4 linked regions of the Arabidopsis thaliana genome follow. The protein of the gene in region 4 interacts with the protein of the main gene of each other region in a pairwise test. Each region holds a gene or a part of one and is shown on either strand. Other genes may lie near its edges. The genes, in order: AT5G05120, AT5G02050, FRS5 and AT3G07500.

The links.
Region 1: the proteins of AT3G07500 (region 4) and AT5G05120 interact in a two-hybrid assay, tested with the Arabidopsis thaliana proteins (one large-scale study listed by BioGRID).
Region 2: the proteins of AT3G07500 (region 4) and AT5G02050 interact in a two-hybrid assay, tested with the Arabidopsis thaliana proteins (one large-scale study listed by BioGRID).
Region 3: the proteins of AT3G07500 (region 4) and FRS5 interact in a two-hybrid assay, tested with the Arabidopsis thaliana proteins (one large-scale study listed by BioGRID).

The regions. Positions count from the first base shown.
Region 1 is NC_003076.8:1,508,833-1,513,301, forward strand, and holds AT5G05120 (C2H2 and C2HC zinc fingers superfamily protein), read left to right. Parts: upstream 1-2,399; coding exon 2,400-3,005; downstream 3,006-4,469. Other genes in the region: AT5G05113 (uncharacterized protein), read right to left, coding at 901-1,158; AT5G05130 (DNA/RNA helicase protein), read left to right, coding at 3,284-4,469.
Region 2 is NC_003076.8:401,651-406,679, forward strand, and holds AT5G02050 (Mitochondrial glycoprotein family protein), read right to left. Parts: upstream 2,697-5,029; 5' UTR 2,595-2,696; coding exon 2,310-2,594; intron 2,202-2,309; coding exon 1,843-2,201; intron 1,749-1,842; coding exon 1,589-1,748; 3' UTR 1,329-1,588; downstream 1-1,328. Other genes in the region: PRA1.A1 (prenylated RAB acceptor 1.A1), read left to right, coding at 11-89, 187-273, 355-443, 532-603, 718-821; AT5G02060 (Uncharacterized protein family (UPF0497)), read left to right, coding at 3,258-3,388, 3,696-3,828, 3,930-4,124; AT5G02070 (Protein kinase family protein), read right to left, coding at 4,245-5,029.
Region 3 is NC_003075.7:17,905,012-17,911,720, reverse strand, and holds FRS5 (FAR1-related sequence 5), read left to right. Parts: upstream 1-1,977; 5' UTR 1,978-2,316; coding exon 2,317-4,509; intron 4,510-4,845; coding exon 4,846-5,019; 3' UTR 5,020-5,207; downstream 5,208-6,709. Other genes in the region: CSLD4 (cellulose synthase like D4), read left to right, coding at 1-206, 315-1,625; FRS9 (FAR1-related sequence 9), read right to left, coding at 5,282-5,449, 5,531-6,709. UniProt on the Arabidopsis thaliana protein: Putative transcription activator involved in regulating light control of development.
Region 4 is NC_003074.8:2,389,938-2,395,292, forward strand, and holds AT3G07500 (Far-red impaired responsive (FAR1) family protein), read left to right. Parts: upstream 1-2,278; 5' UTR 2,279-2,449; coding exon 2,450-2,450; intron 2,451-2,995; coding exon 2,996-3,447; intron 3,448-3,571; coding exon 3,572-3,772; 3' UTR 3,773-3,841; downstream 3,842-5,355. Other genes in the region: AGD11 (ARF-GAP domain 11), read left to right, coding at 1,252-1,713; AT3G07510 (maternal effect embryo arrest protein), read right to left, coding at 3,958-4,549, 4,631-4,638; GLR1.4 (glutamate receptor 1.4), read right to left, coding at 5,184-5,355.

The sequences.
Region 1 (4,469 bases), on a different chromosome or scaffold from region 4:
TCAGAGGGTGGTTTCTTTCGCCGGTTAAAGACTCTTTCCGTTTAAGAGAAGCAAACAAATATTATGGGCCATTAAATATGATTTTTAAGCCCATTTTATGGACTCATCTGAAAGCCCATTTTAAATCAATGTTGTTAATCCTTTGAAAAAAAAATATGCAAAAGATCAGTTTTCTTTTCTCAACCTCAAAGATCAGTTTGGTGCTGCTTCTCAATATGTGTTTGGTACTTATGCTCAGTCTTTGGCATTTGGTCAAATTTGTCTTGGGAAGCAGAAGTGGAGAGGTTGTTCACACAAACATTACTTTGTTTTTTGTATGGTTAATTTGGCTATTATCTAAAATTTTGTTTCTTATATAGAACACAAATCATTACAATATTTTATTTTTGATTGTAGAAATCATATAAAATGTTCAAAAATGTGTTTTTTTAGTAATTTGATATAGAGATTAAATGAATAAAACAATATAGAATGTTTTCTTTGTTCTATACCATTTCATGTTATATGTTCTATGTAAACAAAACCATTTACTCAAAACGATCAAAGACGCACTTTCTTAATTTTCCATAGTACAGTGTCATAAGCTTCGTTTTATTATCGAACTAGGTCATTGCTGCAAGTGACCCTTCAAAAATTGCACTAGGAAGAAGCCTAGGTGACTCAGAAGCGCAAATTGCAAAATGCAAAAGATTGCACTAGAGATTTTACCTCTAATTACAAGAGAGATTTAAAAGGCAAAGAGAAAATCTGAAAGCCGTGGTTAAGTTATTCATTAAGACAATCCATCAAAGAAACCATGAGTTTCAGTTGCGAAAGTGTGTTGGACAGCCTCAGGTACCAGTTGCGATTTACGAAATGTGTTGAAAGTGTGTTATAGTCCCCTTTTTCCTTCTCAGGTAGCTAATAACCAATCAATATCTTTGCTTTTGAAGGAAAGACAGGTCGTCGCACCATCCAATCTACGTGCTTCAGATCTTCTCTGGTGACGGATTCGTGCTCCTTCTCAATCCTCATCAACTTGTTTAACGTGTGCGCTATTCCCTCCGGCTCAGTGAGAGATTGCAGTTTCTCGAACATGCATGATTCTCTTCTTCTCCATCCTCCTATTTTCCACTTTTGTCTTCGCAAGTACATCAACCCTGATCGATGTCGGAGCATACTCCGTTGTACAGACCCTTTTCAAGAGATGGCTACTAGAACCAATGATACGGCGGAAGTTCATCGTCAATCCAAGCTCTCAAAGTTCACTAACCCTAATTATAATACATATAGCTTTCTTCTTATCTCCAATTAATGTGCTATTTATAAAAATGTTTACAAAGTTTATAAACCTTGATTACATAGATGTTCAATATCATAAGTTTAATCCAATCTGTATATTTTAATGCTGAAAAGATAGCTAAGAAACTATATAGATTTTAATTTGGTATGTTAGAGTTGAATATCTTGTTTAAACCTTGACTATACATAGATGTTCATTATCTTAAGTTTAATCCAATCTGTCATACTAAGCCATGTATATCACAAGAAAGTCTGAAAATGTGCTATATGTCATAGTAAAATTATTAAGTTAATGCTTTTTTGATGTGAGAATCAGCATTATAGATTTGATGGTAAAATGCTTCCATCAGTTTCTCTACTCTTATTAAAAGGTAGCCAAATTTAGTTTAATTACTTACTTTTAATATATATTTTCATTATGTTGATATGAAAATAATTTTATTTTTATTACCTCCAAAGTGATGTATATGAAAATAAATAAAATTGCAAGCAATGGAAAACAATAGAAAACTTAAAGGTAAATATTTTATTTAAGAGTTGAGATAATTATGTACTAAAAGTTTACTACATAATGACACTAATTAAATCTTTAATTCTTGTTTTCTAAAGTTGACTACATTAAGATCTACTAATTAACTCTTTAAACTCTTCTAAATAATTTTGTTTTCAACTATATCTCAAATTTAATAGGGCAAAACCAAAATCTCCCTACTCACTTTGGAAATCAGTAATGTTTGGAACTAATTTTGACTAAATATGCTAAATGCAACAAGTATTAATTCAGAAACAAATTTACTACGCAAATTCGGCAAATGTAAAATGTCAAATATATATAGTAATTAAACATGTTATGTGTGAGTTGTCGAAATGATAAACTAGTTTGTTAAGTACTTCAGTTAGTCTTTGTTCTTCATCATGTTTCTCTATAACTAAGTCCCTTTCCATATTTCATCAATATGCATTTATCTTATTCAAACATCATAACATTACAACATATAACTTTCCTTGATATTAAAAGTGCATACAAAGTATTAAATCTTTAAATACCTATCCGGGTGCAATAACATATTCAAGCCATCAAACCTAATTTCTAAAAGCCCGATCCGATCGACAACGAAATGTTGTCCTCGGACTCGAATTACGCTAGTGATATTAGCGACGATGCCTCCGCCACCGGATCGATAGAGAATCCTATATACAAATGCAAGTATTGTCCTAGGAAGTTCGATAAAACACAAGCATTAGGTGGTCATCAAAATGCACACAGAAAGGAGAGAGAGGTCGAAAAACAACAAAAAGCATTTTTGGCGCATTTGAACCGACCAGAACCAGATCTTTACGCGTACTCGTATTCGTATCATCATTCATTTCCTAACCAATACGCACTCCCACCGGGATTTGAACAGCCTCAGTACAAAGTTGATAGATCATACAAGATGTCCATGGTCTACAACCAATATGTGGGATCCTCAAGCTCTAGCTTTGCAGGACTACAAAGTGACCCAAGTCAAGGAATGAACCAGGATTGGACCTTTACCGGGATCCCATTCCTACCCCAATCTCAACCTCAACCACTATCGTCACCAATATGTTTGGATCTTTGCCTTGGCATTGGTAGCTCCCAAACCCAACCACAACCTCAAGAACCAAATGATGCAACAGAAGAGATGGATGCTGAGAAAGAAAATGATGGTTCTTCCCTTTCTCTCTCACTCAAACTGTGAAATTGTAATCTTTCCCTTTTAAGTATTTCTTAAACTTTCATTCCTCACCTTTGTTTTCTTGCATAGTATTATCGGCTTGTGTCAAATCAGTACTTGTGCACTTGAACATTGTAATAAACTTGGTTGTTATTTGCATTTGAATTTCATATAATAATAAAAACTTGATATTGTTCTGACTTTGGGGTGTCAAATTCTATTTATAAGAATTTGAGATGCAAATCTCAATTTTAGTTACTTTATGATACCAATATAAAAAAAAAAACCACTCTTTCGAAAGGATGCGGGTTTTGAAATACTTTCGAGCTCCTTCTTCTCTCCGTCATCGTTCCTCTCCCATGGCTCAGTTTCTTCGACGCTTCTCTTCCTCTCCCATGGCGAACGAAGACGAATTCCAATCTCCGGTGGAACCATCACAGCAGCAATCTCAGGACTGTGTTTCGGAGTCTTATCTGATAGGGTTTGTTATCGCGAACATAGTAGGGTTAAAGTACTATTCCGGCCGAATCAACGGTCGAGAGATGGTGGGTCTGGTTCGAGAACCCTTGAACGTATATGACAATAATGCAATCAGAGTACTCAACACGCGATCTGAGCAAGTGGGTCACATCGAGCGTACAGTAGCAGCCGTTCTCGCGCCGATGATTGATTCTCACACGATCGTCGTCGAGGGTATTGTACCCAATACTCGTTCTAACTCCAATAGGTACAGAATCCCTTGTCAAATTCATGTATTTGCAAAGTTAGAAGCGTCCTCTACTGTGAAATCGACGATTTCTAGAGGTGGGTTAGTATTGATTTCGGAGTCAGATACATCGTTTGGGTTATCTGAGGCTGTTGTGGTTAAGGAACAGATGGGAAATGGAGATAAGAGGAGTGTTGATAAGATTTTTAAACTTGTTGATGAGAATGTGAAGTTAATGGGGAAATTGGTAGCGGCTGAGCCACCTAGGGAAGTGATAAAGTCTGAACTTTTTGCTCATCAGAAGGAAGGATTAGGCTGGTTACTCCATAGAGAGAAATCTGGAGAATTGCCTCCGTTTTGGGAGGAGAAAGATGGAGAATTTTTGAATACTTTGACGAATTACCGCTCGGATAAGCGGCCTGATCCTTTGCGTGGAGGGGTGTTTGCTGATGATATGGGGTTGGGTAAGACCCTTACTTTGCTTTCCCTGATAGCTTTTGATAGATATGGCAATGCATCCACCAGTACGCCAACCGAAGAGCCTTTGGATGGTGAAGGAGACAAGATTGAAAAGAAGGGTAAAAAGAGAGGAAGAGGCAAGAGCAGTGAAAGTGTAACTCGAAAGAAGCTTAAAACTGATGATGTTGTTGGCATGAATGTGTCTCAAAAGACAACGTTGATCGTTTGTCCACCTTCTGTGATTTCAGCATGGATAACACAGTTAGAGGAGCATACTGTACCGGGAATCTTGAAGGTGTATATGTATCATGGTGGCGAAAGGA
Region 2 (5,029 bases), on a different chromosome or scaffold from region 4:
TACTTCTCAGGATTGGGAGTCCTTACAAGGCCTTTAGCGATCTTCGCTGCGCTTTTGACAGCATTAAGTTTGGCATTTCTAAATGACAGGTTTTTCTTCATCTTCCTTTTGTTTTTAAACTCTCAGAGCTTTGACTAGTGGATATGCTTGAATCAGTAGATCCATATTGAGTATTCTTGTCTACAGCTTTGCAGGTTCTTTTAGTGAGAAGGCGACACGAACCGTCAGAAGATTCTCTCCACAGTTAGCTGCTAAAATGAGACCTCCTTTGACGTATGTTTATCTCTCTTTGTTGCCTTTCATACTCTTTGTTACTCCTTGCTTATTATCATCTATGTTATCTGTGTTTTTTAGACCTGTCACTCGTGGGCGTCCATCATCAAAGAGAGCAATCCATGTATGTGGTCAACCCCGTTGGGTTTTTGTCTTGACATGCTCACTTGGTATGTGGCTTTGTATATTTTCATTTGATGTAATATATCTCCAAAAACCGTAAAAAACATGATTTGGAGTTTTTTTTTTGTTTCGCAGTGAGTTTTGCTCTTTGGTATATTTCCTCTGGTTTGCTCAGAGTCTCGGTTGCGCTACTCATTGCACATCTTGGTATGCAGTCTACACAAATCCTCATAAGTCATAACTTAGTTTCTCTCACTCTACTTCAAAAATCCACATATAGGCTTTTATAAACTCAACCTCTTTTTGTAATTTGTGTTACAGCAACAATTCTTCATGCAAGCTTGAGAACACCGAACTTGAAGGCACGTTTTAACACATTTAGGGAGGAATTCCGAGCAGTATGGCGTAACTACAGCGAGATTTAGAGTAATGTAAGTTTGAAATATCTTCTTCTTAGTCTAACATCTATTTGCTTAACTGGATGGTTAGATTTTCTGAAATGTTGACAGTCTTTGGCAGCTTGTACCACCATGATCGTGTTCTGCTGAGGACATAACGCTGTAAAGACCAAACTTACTGCCTTTCTCCAAGATAAACCCGGTTTCGTTAACACTGTACTATGGATGTTCAATCTGGATTTGTTGCTCAATGACTGGGATCATCTGTTTTTTCTTTGATTTGAGATTTGAGCTCTGAGCTCTTTTTGCTAGCAAAATCCTCTCTTTTTTTTGCTAAAGACTTGTAAAGCTAGCTTTGTTGTTCTTCGTTCTAACACAAAACCCTTTGTGTAAAGTCCTAGAATCGTTTAATAGCTTGCATTTTTTTCTTTCTTTTTTTGGGTTGAGAGGTCTAGTAACAATAATAATGAGATAACAAGAAATGGAAAATAAACAAATGATTTGACTACTTAGCCGAGAGTTTTCGGATAAGAATAGGCAATGGGAAAATGCAAAAGAATTATACTTTATTGAGGTCGTAACATTTTTTCCAACTGACACTCGAAAGAGTTGCATCTTATATCTAGCAAAGTACCTAAAAACCCATTAAAAACATGTAGCAATATTGTTAACAAGCATAACACATGACCTCACTTTCAACGATTGCTCATGGTGATATCAAGTTCATCTAAGATAAACTCAAAAGTTTAAAGCAAAAAGAAATCTCGCTCTTATTCTCTGAACAAAGTTCAGTTTCACTTCTCGACAAAAGACTTGAGATCCTTGAGCCATTGAAGATACTCTCTGCTATCTTTGTTGGCCACATAATCTGCCAGAAAGGTAGTGAAGCTTGGTTTAATACCTCTGATCTCCAAGTACCTGTGGAAAGCCTTCTGCAAATTCTCATCCAAGTCACTGCACATAACACAATAACCAAATTCAATCACATAACAATACCCCAATCTCATATATTCCAAACAAGAACTCACTATCATTGAAGTAAACTTACTCAAAGTCAGGTCCTTCGTAAGCAAGGTCATTATCAGATCCTTGCGGTTGTTTGATCGATAAACTATCAATCACAATCTCATCCGGGTATGCGCTGACTCCAAACTCAAGACACACACCATCACCTTTCTGCACACTAACAACCATCGGAACCCGGACTTTACCCGAGCTCTCTTGATCTTCATCGTCTTCTTCATTGTTTGGTTCTGCTTCCTCTTCTTCATCTTCATCATCATAAGAAGCAACAGAGTCAACTTCCACTTGGATGGTTTCATCCTCAAATTTCCTTGTCAGCAACACAGTTCTCTCCCCTGAATTATCAATGATTTCAAATGGAAACCCTTCTGGCTTATCTTCCAACTGTTTTTCCAAAACATTTCTAATTCAGATACAATTGTTCTAAACCCCAGAAATATTAAAATCTCATGAATTCGAGAAGAATCATGTATATTGAAAGAGAGAACTTACGAAGTCAGTGTCATGAGGAGCCTCCTCTGCGACGGCGCATTCGATTTCAGATTCGATAACGCTAACAAGATTCTCGTCGGCGGTTGTTTTAGAGATCGCACTTTCCGTCGAAAAGCTCGAGACTGAGAATGAACTAACCGATCCACGCCTGATCTGGTGGCTACCACGAATCAGCCTCTCGACGGAGACAGCGCCACTGCGGAAGCTAACCGGAGATCTACCCGCACGGAAAGCAAGATTGGCTACTGTTGACGAAGCTCGACGAAACACGGTGCTCAACGCCATTTCTGAGGATTCTAGGGTTTTCCTTAAAAGTGAAAAGAGAAACAGAAATGAGGGTTTTACTGAGAGAAGAAGAGAGGTTTAAGGTTTGTTTATAGTGCAAAGCATTATGTAGGAGATAAAAAGCCATTTAATAAGGCCCAATTACTTAATGGGCCATAAGAAGCCCATATATTAAAAGGAATTGGTCATTCGTACAGTGAGAGAGGAATGTCTGTGTGTGGACACGTCCTTAAAGGCAAAAGGAGAGAAGAACAAAATAGCTCTTGCCGGCGTCAGAATTGCGTCACTGTTTCTTCCAACTTCAATTTTAATATCGTTGGCTTGAAGTTAAGGGAAACATAATTGTTCCTCCAAAAAAGCAGAATTAAATTTGTGGTAGATACTTGTTTTTAAATTCATATAGCTCAAAAAAGTTGTCATTTTTAATGTTGGTTTTCTGGTGGCGATGCTCTTAATTACCCAATTCCGTACGATTTATGATCATAAGTCAACTTTTGAGATTTGGGTTTGTGAAATTTTCCTGAATAAAATTATGGGTTTAGGGTTTTTATGATCAATTTCCTGTAAAGTAGCGATTTTTTTCTCCCGGGGATTTTGGTGAGGAACAGGATAGAAAGTCTTGGTTTTGTTCTGTTTATTGTGTTTGTTTTTGGGTTCTGATCAATGAAGAAGATGATTGGGAGTCCTGGAACAATGAGTGGGTTGATACTGAGACTAGGGCAATGTGCAACTGCTGCTGCTTCCATTGGTGTTATGGTTTCTTCTTACGACTTTTCCAATTACACTGCTTTCTGGTAATTGTCCATCTTCAATCTCATTGGTCTTGGTGTTTTGGTTTAGTTTAGTTTAGTTGAAGACATTGGACACTGATGTATCAAAAATCTTGACTTTGTAGTTTTTTCTTGGATAAACTTTTGAAGATAGAGCTAACTGAACTAGTAATTGTGTATGATTAACATTTGCCTGAAACTTTGACAAGATTTTTTTCTTTGTTTGGTAAAAAATATGTGGAAATGGAATTATTTCTATATTTCGATTACTGTATGGGGTTATCTCAAAAGATACAAAATGATGATAGATTGCTTTTGCCAATGATTTCAGCTTCTTAGTCGCATCTATGGGTCTTCAATTGATATGGAGCTTTGGACTTGCGTGTCTTGATGTATATGCGATAAGGAGAAAAAGTGATTTACGAAGCCCTATCTTATTGAGCCTTTTCACTGTTGGTGATTGGGTATTAAACTTATCTTCCATTTCATTATATGCTTATTCACTGTTGGTGTCTTGTTGTTTTAAAGGTTATTTGTTTGATAGGTTTCTTTTGGAATTCTGCAGGTCACTGCACTTCTCGCTCTTGCAGCCGCGTGTTCCTCTGCAGGAGTTACTGTTTTATTCACTAAAGACACTGAGTTTTGCAGGCAGCAACCCGCTCTCTCTTGCGATAGGTTTCAGATTTCTGTTGGTTTATCTTTCTTTAATTGGTTTTTAGCTGCTATATCGTCTCATACCATGTTTTGGATCTTGATATGATATCAAACAAAACCCATCTCAATGATTTTACAAAAATCCATTTCTATGAATTGTTTTTCTCCAATCCATAACCGGAAACAGGGCAAGGGTACAAGTCATTTTGGTAATTTTCTAAGACAGCTATGTCTCAGTAACCTCTTGTGACAGAATATTGATGATGTATTCAATCTCATCAGCAACCTCTTTCATCGAAGGTCGGTTTTGTCTCCGTTCGTTAAGGCACGCAGATGCTAAATTCCCGAGCTGCTGTATCGTCTGCATGTCAATCTTGTTAGCTGTCTTCTTCAGCAGTGGATCGATGCATTCAGTCAATCTCTCTTGATCCATCATCTTGTTAATATACATCACCAGGTTCACATCTTCCTCTTCTCTAGTGAAATCTATCGCCTTCTTCGATGTAACCATCTCCAGAAGCACAACCCCGAAGCTGTACACATCGCTCTTATCAGTTAGCTGGAAATTCCGGTAGTATTCTGGATCGAGGTATCCCAATGTACCTTGCGCACCCGTGAAGATATGGCTCTCGTTATTAGCGGTTTCTGTCAAATCCACAAGTCTTGACAGCCCAAAGTCTGAAACCTTGGCGTTTAGCTTCTCGTCAAGCAAAATATTGCTTGACTTTACGTCGCGGTGGTAAATGGGTGGCTGTGCTGCGGAGTGGAGATAAGCTAATCCTTCAGCGGTTTGGTATGCAATCTGCAGTCTGCGCCGCCAAGTCAGCGGTTTCCAAGTACGGTCTGAACTGCCATGGAGATGTTCGAACAGCGTTCCGTTGGGAATAAACTCGTAGATCAAGAGAGGCAATTCAAGATCAACACAGCAACCGAGAAGCCTAACTAAGCTTCTATGATTGACTTGGCAGAGAATCCGGACTTCGTTTAGGATCTGATCAGTGCCTTTGGTGT
Region 3 (6,709 bases), on a different chromosome or scaffold from region 4:
TTATCCTTAATCTTGATTGTGATCATTACATCTATAACTGTAAGGCCGTACGAGAAGGGATGTGTTTTATGATGGACAGAGGTGGTGAAGACATTTGCTACATTCAGTTTCCGCAAAGATTCGAAGGCATCGATCCTTCTGATAGATATGCTAACAATAACACTGTATTTTTTGACGGTAATATGCGTGCTCTCGACGGTGTCCAGGTACTGTATATATACTTATTTTTGATGCAATGCAAACCAACTATAGACAGATATATATATAAAGATCCTTTACCAAAAAATAAATGATTCTCTGTTTTTCTTTTCCAGGGACCAGTTTATGTTGGAACAGGTACTATGTTTAGGCGCTTTGCTCTCTATGGTTTTGATCCACCCAACCCTGACAAGCTTCTTGAGAAGAAGGAATCAGAAACAGAGGCTCTAACCACCAGTGACTTTGACCCGGACCTTGATGTCACACAACTCCCCAAGCGCTTTGGGAACTCCACACTCCTAGCTGAGTCAATTCCAATTGCAGAGTTCCAAGGTCGTCCATTGGCAGACCACCCGGCTGTCAAGTACGGTCGTCCTCCCGGAGCCCTTAGAGTCCCTCGTGACCCACTTGATGCTACCACTGTCGCAGAGTCTGTTTCTGTAATCTCTTGTTGGTATGAGGATAAAACGGAGTGGGGAGATAGAGTTGGATGGATTTATGGGTCGGTGACAGAGGACGTGGTCACAGGATACCGCATGCATAATCGTGGGTGGCGCTCGGTTTACTGCATAACTAAGCGAGATTCTTTTCGAGGCTCTGCACCCATTAATCTCACGGATCGTCTTCACCAGGTGTTGCGGTGGGCCACTGGGTCTGTTGAGATCTTCTTCTCTAGAAACAACGCCATTCTCGCCTCCAAACGTCTCAAGTTCCTCCAACGTCTCGCATACCTCAATGTTGGGATATACCCTTTCACGTCTCTGTTTCTCATCCTCTATTGTTTTCTTCCGGCATTCTCTCTTTTCTCTGGACAGTTCATCGTGCGGACGCTCAGTATCTCCTTCTTGGTCTACCTTCTTATGATCACCATTTGTTTGATTGGATTGGCGGTTTTGGAGGTCAAGTGGTCTGGCATTGGGCTGGAAGAATGGTGGAGAAACGAACAGTGGTGGCTCATCTCAGGAACAAGCTCTCACCTTTACGCAGTGGTCCAAGGAGTCCTCAAAGTGATTGCAGGGATCGAGATCTCCTTTACCTTGACGACCAAGTCAGGGGGAGATGACAATGAAGACATATACGCGGATTTGTACATAGTGAAATGGTCGTCGCTGATGATACCGCCTATAGTGATAGCAATGGTGAACATAATAGCGATTGTGGTGGCGTTCATCAGGACAATATACCAAGCGGTGCCACAATGGAGCAAGCTAATCGGAGGAGCATTTTTCAGCTTCTGGGTGTTGGCGCATTTGTATCCATTTGCAAAAGGATTGATGGGACGAAGAGGCAAAACTCCAACCATAGTTTTTGTGTGGGCAGGTCTCATTGCCATCACCATCTCTCTACTGTGGACGGCCATAAACCCAAACACCGGACCTGCAGCTGCTGCAGAGGGTGTTGGAGGCGGTGGTTTTCAATTCCCGTAATTAAAAAAGCATTCATATAGGCGACTTGAGAGTTTTGTAGACTAATCACAAGAAATTAATACGTATACTATCTTTGTTTCTTTTTGTTTTTGTTTTTGTTCCTGGTAGTAAATTTTCAGATAACTACATGTATATCTGGATTGAGATGTCATGACTGTATAAATCAGCCTTTGTATCAATCATTTCGTCTTTAAAAGTCAATTTTTCCTCTCCTCCACTCGCAACTGATAGTGAACCATACGGTAAGCGTAAAAGAGGATGGGCCTTATAAAGTAAATGAAGAGGGAGTGGGCCTTATAAAATTATAAATGAAGAAGGAATGGGCCTTATAAAATAAATGAAGAAGGAATGGGCCTTGCTTAAATTAAAAAAAGAGAATTAGAAGCACCGTCTGTCTTCCTCCTCCGTGCCCTCCGACGACTCTATTCCCAGTCTCCCTCCTCCGTCGTCTCTCATCTTCCTTTTCATTCTTCGGTTATTATAACGTAATCAATTACAAGTTCCCTTATCTCTTCTTTTCTGGTTTCTCCCGCGCACGAACGCGCATTCCCTCGTCTTCGCTGCCTCCCAATCTCAATCTCAGACTTGAAATCAAATCACGACTGTAAGTGGTTCTATCTACAGTAGCTAGCTATTTCATCCTGTTGTGGACAATAGATAGATAGAATTCATCCCTGAAGACAAGGAGGATATGATGGATAATGAAGTGCTCGACTTCGATATTGGTGTAGGAGTTAGTAGTGGCGGAGATGTTGATGACGACGCTATTGATATTGAGCACCATGCTCTCGACGACGATGATATGCTCGACAGCCCAATTATGCCTTGCGGTAATGGTCTTGTTGGCAATTCTGGAAATTACTTTCCCAACCAGGAGGAGGAGGCTTGTGATCTCCTGGATCTCGAGCCCTATGATGGTCTTGAATTCGAGTCCGAAGAAGCTGCCAAGGCATTCTACAACTCGTATGCCCGTCGCATTGGCTTTAGTACCCGTGTCAGTTCCTCCCGCCGCTCCCGCCGTGATGGAGCTATCATCCAGAGGCAATTTGTCTGTGCCAAAGAAGGTTTCAGAAATATGAATGAAAAGCGCACCAAGGACAGGGAGATCAAGCGTCCCAGGACCATCACTCGAGTCGGTTGCAAAGCCTCCCTCTCTGTTAAGATGCAGGATTCCGGTAAATGGCTTGTCTCTGGCTTTGTCAAAGACCACAACCATGAGCTTGTTCCTCCCGACCAAGTTCACTGTCTGCGTTCCCACAGGCAAATCTCTGGCCCTGCCAAGACTTTGATTGACACACTTCAAGCTGCAGGAATGGGTCCCCGCAGAATCATGTCCGCCCTCATCAAAGAGTATGGTGGCATCAGCAAGGTTGGTTTCACCGAAGTGGACTGTAGGAATTATATGAGGAACAACCGCCAGAAGAGCATAGAAGGAGAGATTCAGCTTCTTCTTGACTACTTGAGGCAGATGAATGCTGACAACCCAAACTTCTTTTATTCTGTTCAGGGAAGCGAAGATCAGTCTGTTGGTAATGTCTTCTGGGCTGATCCTAAAGCTATAATGGATTTCACTCACTTTGGAGACACCGTTACATTTGATACAACCTACAGGTCCAACAGGTACCGTTTGCCTTTCGCACCCTTCACTGGTGTAAATCACCATGGCCAACCCATTCTTTTCGGCTGTGCCTTTATCATCAATGAAACTGAGGCTTCATTTGTATGGCTTTTCAATACGTGGCTAGCCGCAATGTCCGCCCACCCTCCTGTCTCAATCACCACCGATCATGATGCTGTTATACGTGCAGCCATCATGCACGTTTTTCCTGGTGCCCGCCATCGCTTTTGCAAATGGCATATTTTAAAGAAATGTCAGGAGAAGCTGTCGCATGTCTTCCTCAAGCATCCTTCGTTTGAGTCAGATTTCCACAAATGTGTCAATCTGACAGAGTCGGTTGAGGATTTTGAGAGATGCTGGTTTTCACTTCTTGACAAGTATGAGCTAAGAGATCATGAGTGGCTACAAGCAATATACTCCGATCGCCGGCAGTGGGTCCCAGTATATCTCCGTGATACCTTTTTTGCCGACATGTCCTTAACTCATCGTAGTGATAGTATCAATTCATATTTTGATGGTTATATAAACGCTTCAACCAATCTAAGCCAGTTCTTTAAGCTGTATGAAAAAGCTTTGGAGAGTCGTCTCGAGAAAGAAGTTAAAGCAGATTATGACACAATGAACTCACCTCCTGTTCTGAAGACTCCATCTCCAATGGAGAAGCAGGCGTCTGAACTTTACACAAGGAAGTTGTTTATGAGATTTCAGGAAGAACTAGTTGGAACCCTGACTTTCATGGCATCCAAAGCTGACGATGATGGGGATCTTGTTACCTACCAGGTTGCGAAATATGGAGAGGCTCACAAGGCTCATTTCGTTAAGTTCAACGTTTTGGAGATGAGAGCAAATTGCAGTTGCCAGATGTTTGAGTTCTCTGGCATCATTTGCAGACATATATTGGCAGTCTTCCGGGTCACCAATCTCCTTACACTTCCACCTTACTACATCCTAAAAAGATGGACCAGAAATGCCAAAAGCAGTGTTATATTTGATGATTATAATTTGCATGCGTATGCTAATTACCTGGAGTCTCATACCGTCCGATACAACACCTTACGTCACAAAGCTTCTAATTTTGTGCAAGAAGCTGGAAAATCTCTGTATACTTGTGATGTCGCAGTTGTTGCTCTGCAAGAAGCTGCCAAGACTGTGTCCCTGGCAATGAATAAGGAAGTTAGAAGAACTATGGCGAACAGGCATTTTAAAGCGAGTTCTGTAACTGGTGGAAAACATCAGCAAGAAGTGCTGGCGCAACCTGAGCCCGAGGTGAGGATCATTTTCTTTTCGATACTTGTTTTCTTTTTGATATAATAGCAATCAAATTTGTTGCTCTAAAAAATAGTTATATACGTTTGAAGTATCGTTTGTGCGGGTTTGCCCCATACAATACAATCATTGCTTTGTCTCCTTGACGGTACCATAATGCTGATTGCTCTGTTAACGTTTGACTAATGAGCTCGTGATTCACATATGCATGTTAAGAGTATGGTCTTCATTTTGCCATTGTGAGCCTTTGTTCCGTACAATCTGCAAGGTCCTCAATTTTGCTATGTGCTTTTACTGCTGACTAATTGCATGACCGTATTTCCTCTACTTTCGCAGGACGAAATGGACAAGAAGATTAATCAGCTCAGAAACGAGCTGGAATTAGCAAACAGGAAATGCGAAGCTTACAGGACTAACCTACTTTCAGTTTTGAAAGAAATGGAAGACCAAAAGTTACAAGTGTCCATCAAAGTGCAGAACATCAAAATTAGCTTGAAGGATAATCTGTGAAACAAGCAACAAATTCCGACTGCTATTCTCATCTATAACATATTGCTCATGTACTATATCTCTTATAGGGTTTTTGAAAGAGGGACCCAATTTTCAGGATTTCCCTGTTCTTACAGTAGGTAGCCTTTGTAATAGATTGTACTCCCAATCATTTCCTTACTGAGTAAGAGCATGAAGTTGATTCCCATAAATGTTTGCATACCAAGTTACCAACCACAGTACGTGAGTTGAATTGTGATGTTATGTATCCAGCAGATTGCACTCACTCTTTCAAGCTTAGTCTAGCATTTTGTACCTTGAGGGATAGCTGAAACTTCTGTTCTTCCATATCTCTCAAAATAGACAGCAGGTTTGCTCGATAAACTTCACATCGCTGGCCTGTCCTCTCCAACTCAGCTGTCAGTTCAAGTATCGTCCTCTCTTTTTCACCCTGGCATTGAAGTAAGTACTTATTCCCAAGGAACAGAGGACATCAATGTTAAAGAATTATCAAATACCAGTATTCGCTTACCCCTGGATGATTCGTTGCATTTGCTGTTTCTCGAGCTTCCTCGGACGGGTAAGCTTCCCCATTGGGAAGCCTAGTTCCAGGTGTTCTGTTACTTGCAGCAGCAACCTTCTTGGCAGCTTCATCCAAAGCATCCATTGCAACTTTATAGATCTGAATAGATTTGGCACCTTCCTCGACATACTTGGTTGCTTCTTGGCGTAGACTGTTGAAGCAGAGATTTAAAGATTCTTGACAGCCATTTGAAAACTCAGGTTGTTCCTCAGTGCCTCTAATCTTTGCTTCTTTGGTCCATCGCCTCAGTAGATACCGAGATGGAAGAGCAAGAACATTTTTGGCACTGAACACCGCCAATATGTGTCTACATATAATCCCTGAATACTCAAACATTTGACAGCTGCAATTAGCTTTCACCTCAAGAGAGTCAAAACTGACAGTATGACCTTTGTGAACTTCTCCGAACTTAGCGACACGATAAGTAGTGTGAGTTCCTGAATCACTAATTATATTTGCAGGAATTGCAAGGGTCTCAACAAACTCCTCCTGAAACTTGATGAATGCTGCCCTTGTATAGAGGCTAGCAGCTTGCTTTTCCATGGGAGAGGGCGTCTTCATAACTGGAGTAGAGTTAGTTGCTTCGTAATCTGCTTTCAGTTCTTTCTCACGCCAACTATCAATTGCTTTCTCATACTGTTTTATGAGCATTTGCATTGTAGTTGATGCATCCACAAACCCTTGGAAGAATGAGTTCAAAATGCTGCTTCCTTCATTTGTAGACAGCTCTCCATAAAAGGTGTCTCGGATGAAAACACGGACCCACTGTTGTCTAGCATTATAAATGGACTGGAGCCAGTCGTTATCCTCCATATAATATCTCCTGACGATAGAGTCCCAAGATGCCTCAAACTCGGCAGCCGTTTCTGTCTCAGTAACGCAATTTATAAATTCGGATTCAAAGGTAGGATGAGCCTGAAAGACGTGAGCAAGTTTCTCCTCAGTTTCCTCGAAGATGAGGGGCTGGCTGAAACGAAGGCGGGTTTGACTGAAAACTCGAGAAACAGCAACCTGTATCAGGCGATCTGGTTCAACTGTAATAGAAGGAGGAGGGGGAGCAGACATTGCTTGAAGCCAAGTTTGGAAAAGCCACGCAAAGGAGGACTCAGACTCGTTGAGTATGAGAGC
Region 4 (5,355 bases):
GAGATTCTTTTTACAGACCATATAGTAATCTTCCCGGTTTCGGTATGCTTAGGATTAATAGGCCATCCTTTATATTCTCGGGTCTAATTGTCTAAGGAGGTGTTTCCGTTGAGTTAGAAGAATTAGTGGAGTTTTGATCTTTCATTCTCATAACCACTGCATCTTTGGTGAGGCTGAGATAACATTAAATATACTCTGAGCATTGTAATCACAGTTTCTGCTTTTAGGGAAAGGGAATAAGGTAGAATGGATCTGGCATCTTATACCAATGGTTTAGTAGATTTGATTTGAGCCTTGTAAACAGAAACTCTGTTTGTAGGATCGATTCTTGTTCAGGGTTTGATTCAGTAACAAAACATATTGAGTATACTGTTTAGATATTATTTTCCTACCAGTAGTTTCTAAACACAGCTTAGGCATCTTTAAATGTTGCGAATAGTTTTCTAATTCTTACTCGTTTTTCAAAATCCGAAACCAAAGCAAACTGAAAAATGGATGCTCATCTCTATCTACCTGAAAACGTCGATATCAAAATCAATTTCTGCTTGTGGTGCACTTAACACAATAATCATTACTCTCAGTCTTATAAGGATGTGCAATACAACATAATTTAAACCTGTTAACAGACTATCAATCTGTTAAGAAGTGATTAAGACCTTGACTATTTTAAAGGCTATCTCTTTTATTTTAATTTTATTATTGTTCAAGTTGTCTCTTCTATTTTCGAAACATCGCCATGTTCAAATCGACAAAAAAAGAAGTGTATAGAACAAATCCACTTAGAATAAGTTACATCTTATGTAGATAAAATAAATAAATAAGTTTTGTAGAAAATTAACCAAACATATACAAACAGACGATAAGCATTTGAATTGAATTATATTTGTCTATACCATAAATTGAGTCTCAAAAGATTTAACCTGAAATAACTATCCTAACGGAAAACTGTTTTGAAGATGACAAAATACGAGATAATGTGTAGATTCCGTGTGTATCTCTATTGATAGACTTTAGTTTTTGTGTATTCTTGAAGGACATAAACCTATTTTAAGACCAGTTCAACAGAAAACTGGTGCAGACCACGATCACAGTTGTAATGAGTTTTCTAAAATGGTAACCACTCCTTTTCCTTTAAGAAGCAGTCCTTCTTGTCTCCTGCCCTAATTCTCTTCTTCTCTATAAACCCATATTCTAGTTTTGTTCTCATTCATTCTCTGTTCAAAGCTCATAAATAATAAACTCCAATTAAGAATGGATCAAGCGGAGCTTGCCAGGATCTTCCAAATGTTCGACAGGAACGGTGATGGCAAAATCACGAAGCAAGAGCTGAATGATTCATTGGAGAATCTAGGAATCTACATTCCAGACAAAGACTTGGTGCAGATGATCGAGAAGATTGATCTCAACGGTGATGGGTACGTGGACATCGAAGAGTTTGGAGGGTTGTACCAGACGATAATGGAGGAAAGAGACGAGGAGGAAGACATGAGAGAGGCTTTCAACGTGTTTGATCAGAACCGGGACGGGTTCATCACGGTGGAAGAGCTAAGGTCTGTGTTAGCTTCCTTGGGGCTCAAACAAGGAAGAACCCTAGAGGATTGCAAGAGGATGATAAGCAAAGTTGACGTTGATGGAGATGGCATGGTGAATTTCAAAGAGTTTAAACAAATGATGAAAGGTGGTGGATTTGCCGCCTTAGGATCAAACTTGTAAAAAAAAAACTCATTTTTCGGGTTCGGGTTTGAGACCCAAAATCATTGGGTATTTTTTTCTTCGGAATGATTATTAGGGCAAAACCTTGAAAGCGATGATGAATGGATTTGCAAAAGAAAAAAGCTCAACAAACTTTGTGAGCTTTGTTTTGAATGCTCCTACAAAAATGTTGTTGATGAATTTGCTTTTCGGATTTTGAAACATAACCATGCGAATCTACGGGAACACTTGATGATTCTTTTATTATTTATATATTTGGGTGTTGCACTTAAAAAGTTATCACTATCTAGCTTATAATCATAAAATGATGAAAATATATTTGTATTTGTAAATTACAAAGATTAAACACAAACAAACAATCGAATTTCTACCCAAAAAAACAAACAAACAATCGAATTTATGTCTTTAAAGTGAAGATTTAGGTCAAAGTAATGGAAAAAAGTGTCTCATGGAATATGTTAGTCAGGCGGTCAAAGTAAAAAGTAAAAAGAGAAAAAACTATAAACTACATGATGTTTAACTCTTCAAGTGACGTCAAGACATAAACTACGTGCCGTTTCGCACTATTCGTAATCCAACGGGCGAGACTGGAATGAATTTATGACCAGATCTTGGTTTTTTCTTGTCGTCTTCTTCACCGCTTACCAGTTACTAACTTGAGCTTCAGAGATCATCATCATCATCACTTCCTCTCTCTGAAGAAAACACAATTTGGAGTTTTCTAATCTTCATTCCAAGTGAGTACTTCAATCGAATCCCTTTTCTACTATTCAATAATTCAATCTATTATTCAAATTCTCGTCTATCTGTTTCGATGATTTTGAGGTTTTCGCTCCCTTTTGTTATCAAATTATGGAATCTGATTCCCAATTTCGCGTTTGTATGTACTCGATTTTCTCTTTTTTCTTGCATGATTACACTTTGGTGAAGTTCAGAATTCGAGTAATATCACTTGAAATTGCTACTCTCTGCCTATTCATTAGGGTTTATGAATACATAGTTTAGGGTTTATGTTTCCATTAGTCACTTCTTGAGGACCTGCTTATCTTCGAGCCATTGTGTATTTGATAAACTTTGGAAGAAGTGTCCACTATATCTAGCGTAGGACTGAATGTAGTAGATTAGAACTGCTAAGAGTTGGTTAGAGAAAGGGGTGGGTAATTTATAAGGATTTTCTAGGGTTTGGTTAGGTATTCGGTAGAGAGTTTCTGGTTTGGTGAACAAGACATAGCTTTGCATCATTTGTTTTGAGTTGAGATGTTTGTGTGTTGTGTTGTGGCAGTGGAAGGGAACTCTTTACCCGAAGAAGATGTAGAGATGATGGAGAATTCAGATGTAATGAAGACAGTCACAGATGAAGCTTCTCCAATGGTGGAGCCGTTCATTGGTATGGAGTTTGAATCAGAAGAGGCTGCAAAGTCTTTCTATGACAATTACGCTACATGCATGGGTTTCGTTATGCGAGTGGATGCTTTCAGGAGGTCAATGCGAGATGGGACTGTGGTGTGGCGCAGACTCGTGTGTAATAAAGAAGGATTTCGTAGGTCGAGACCTCGGAGAAGCGAGAGTAGAAAGCCTCGGGCTATAACAAGAGAAGGGTGTAAAGCTCTGATTGTTGTGAAAAGAGAGAAATCCGGAACATGGCTTGTTACTAAATTTGAGAAAGAGCATAATCATCCTCTCTTGCCTCTCTCCCCTAATGTTCGCCGGAATTTTCAGCTCCCTCAAACACCGGTACGTCTACGCACTTTTCCTTGGGGTAAAAGTAAAACAGTGATTATTGGCATTGATCTAAGAGTTACCAAGAACATAAAGCTCAAAAAATGATATCGAAATCTTGTACAAATGAACTTTTCAGGACGAGAAAGACGCAAAGATTAGGGAGCTGAGTGCAGAGCTGAGCCGAGAGAGAAGGCGTTGTACTGCTTTGCAACAGCAGCTTGATATGGTCCTTAAGGAGATGGAAGAACATTCCAACCATCTCACCATTAACATCAATAGTGTTATCCAAAGTGTTAGAGACATTGAGTCCAATACTTTCACCAAACAACAAACATAATGCTTCATTTCTGTTCATAAAAGCTTAACATCAAATTCTCATAATCCAATGTTCTGTATCTTGTGATTGATTCTTCATTCTCCGAAACAAAAAAACAAAAAACTAGATTGGAAGGCATTGATGATGAAATTACACATTGGCTAATCAAAACAAAGCCATGGACATTATCCAATTTTGACATAGCATCAATGCCAGAAAGCGTAAATGGCGGTAGAGATGTAAATCAGCAGAGCAGAGGAAACCAGAGTGACGAGCGTTGCAACAGCTTGAGCCGCCGATTTGCTGCCGCAAGAGAGCAAACCAAGACGGATCTGAATCACATTAACCATAGAGAGCATCAAGAAGAGACAGCCCATTACAGATCCGACAGCAGAAGCCATCATTCCCCATCTCAAAACCTTGATATTGATGTGAGCTCTGAAAATCTCGTTGACGTCTTTGCTATTAAGAAGGTTTAAGGCAAGCTTAAGACCCTGAGCTACAAGAGAGGAGAAGAGGAAGAAGCTGAAGGAGACGACTTCGAAGACCAGTAGCTTCTTGGCGACGTCAGCACTTGCGTCGCAGCTGGATCGTTGTTCGAGGCTGTGTTGTCCTGGAGTCGCTAAGGAAAGACCAACGAAGACGGCGATGGTGAAGAGAGAGTTCACGTTCACGAGTCCGTCGAGAGCGCTTACGTGGACACTTGTGGTGGCGAGGGAGGATGTTGAAGACGCCTCTGGTGACGTCATTCTCACGCCGTTCTCAGCGCCGGTCATGTAGTTAACCTTCGGCTCAGATCTGCTCGGAAAGGGAAAAAAAGAAACGCAATGGTTAAAAAAAAGATAGATTGATTTTAGGGAAGAGAGAGGGTTTGCTTACTCATACATGAGGGAATCTATTTAAGCAATGAGTTTAGCTTTCCGTCGGGGCTTAGCTTGAAGAAAGAGATGGATTGTCTTAAAGAGAGAGCTTGTCGGAAACACTCTCTCTCTCCCTATCTTTGTACAAACCAGCTTCTTTGAGGCATTTCTTTTCCACGTCACATTAAGTTGTTGACTTTTTCCGATTTTTCTTCTCTTTTTGAATTTTGTTTTTCTGTATGCAGTCAAATGTTAATGGATTTTTGGGTGAATTTAAAAGATTTTTTTTAATGATTTACTATTAGCAACACTTCATAAATAATTTGAATGCATTTTTCAAATCACTAATAAGATTTTCTCTTAAAATTAATGATTAACTTGAGATTTTTCAATCTAATAAGACAAATCATATAGGATACATTCCCTTTTAAGTACCCAATTCGAAGGTTAAAGATAAAAAATTGTCTCAAGCTATGGATGGGATTGACACATATAAGCATATAACGATGTACAAAAGGAGAAGAAATATGAGAATTGCATTTCTGAGGTAAGTGATAAGAAGATGTCAGGCTTCAGATGACTGAATTCTCATTTTGCCTGTTTGGTGTGGTGGGAGAAGGACGAATTTCTCTTGCAAATCGATGACTAACATAACGGTGGAAATGTTTAAGCACAACTTGCCTTTGTTCTCGGTTCCAGGGGATTAGATAGACGATGAGAGCAAACGCAAAAGAAACTCCTGTG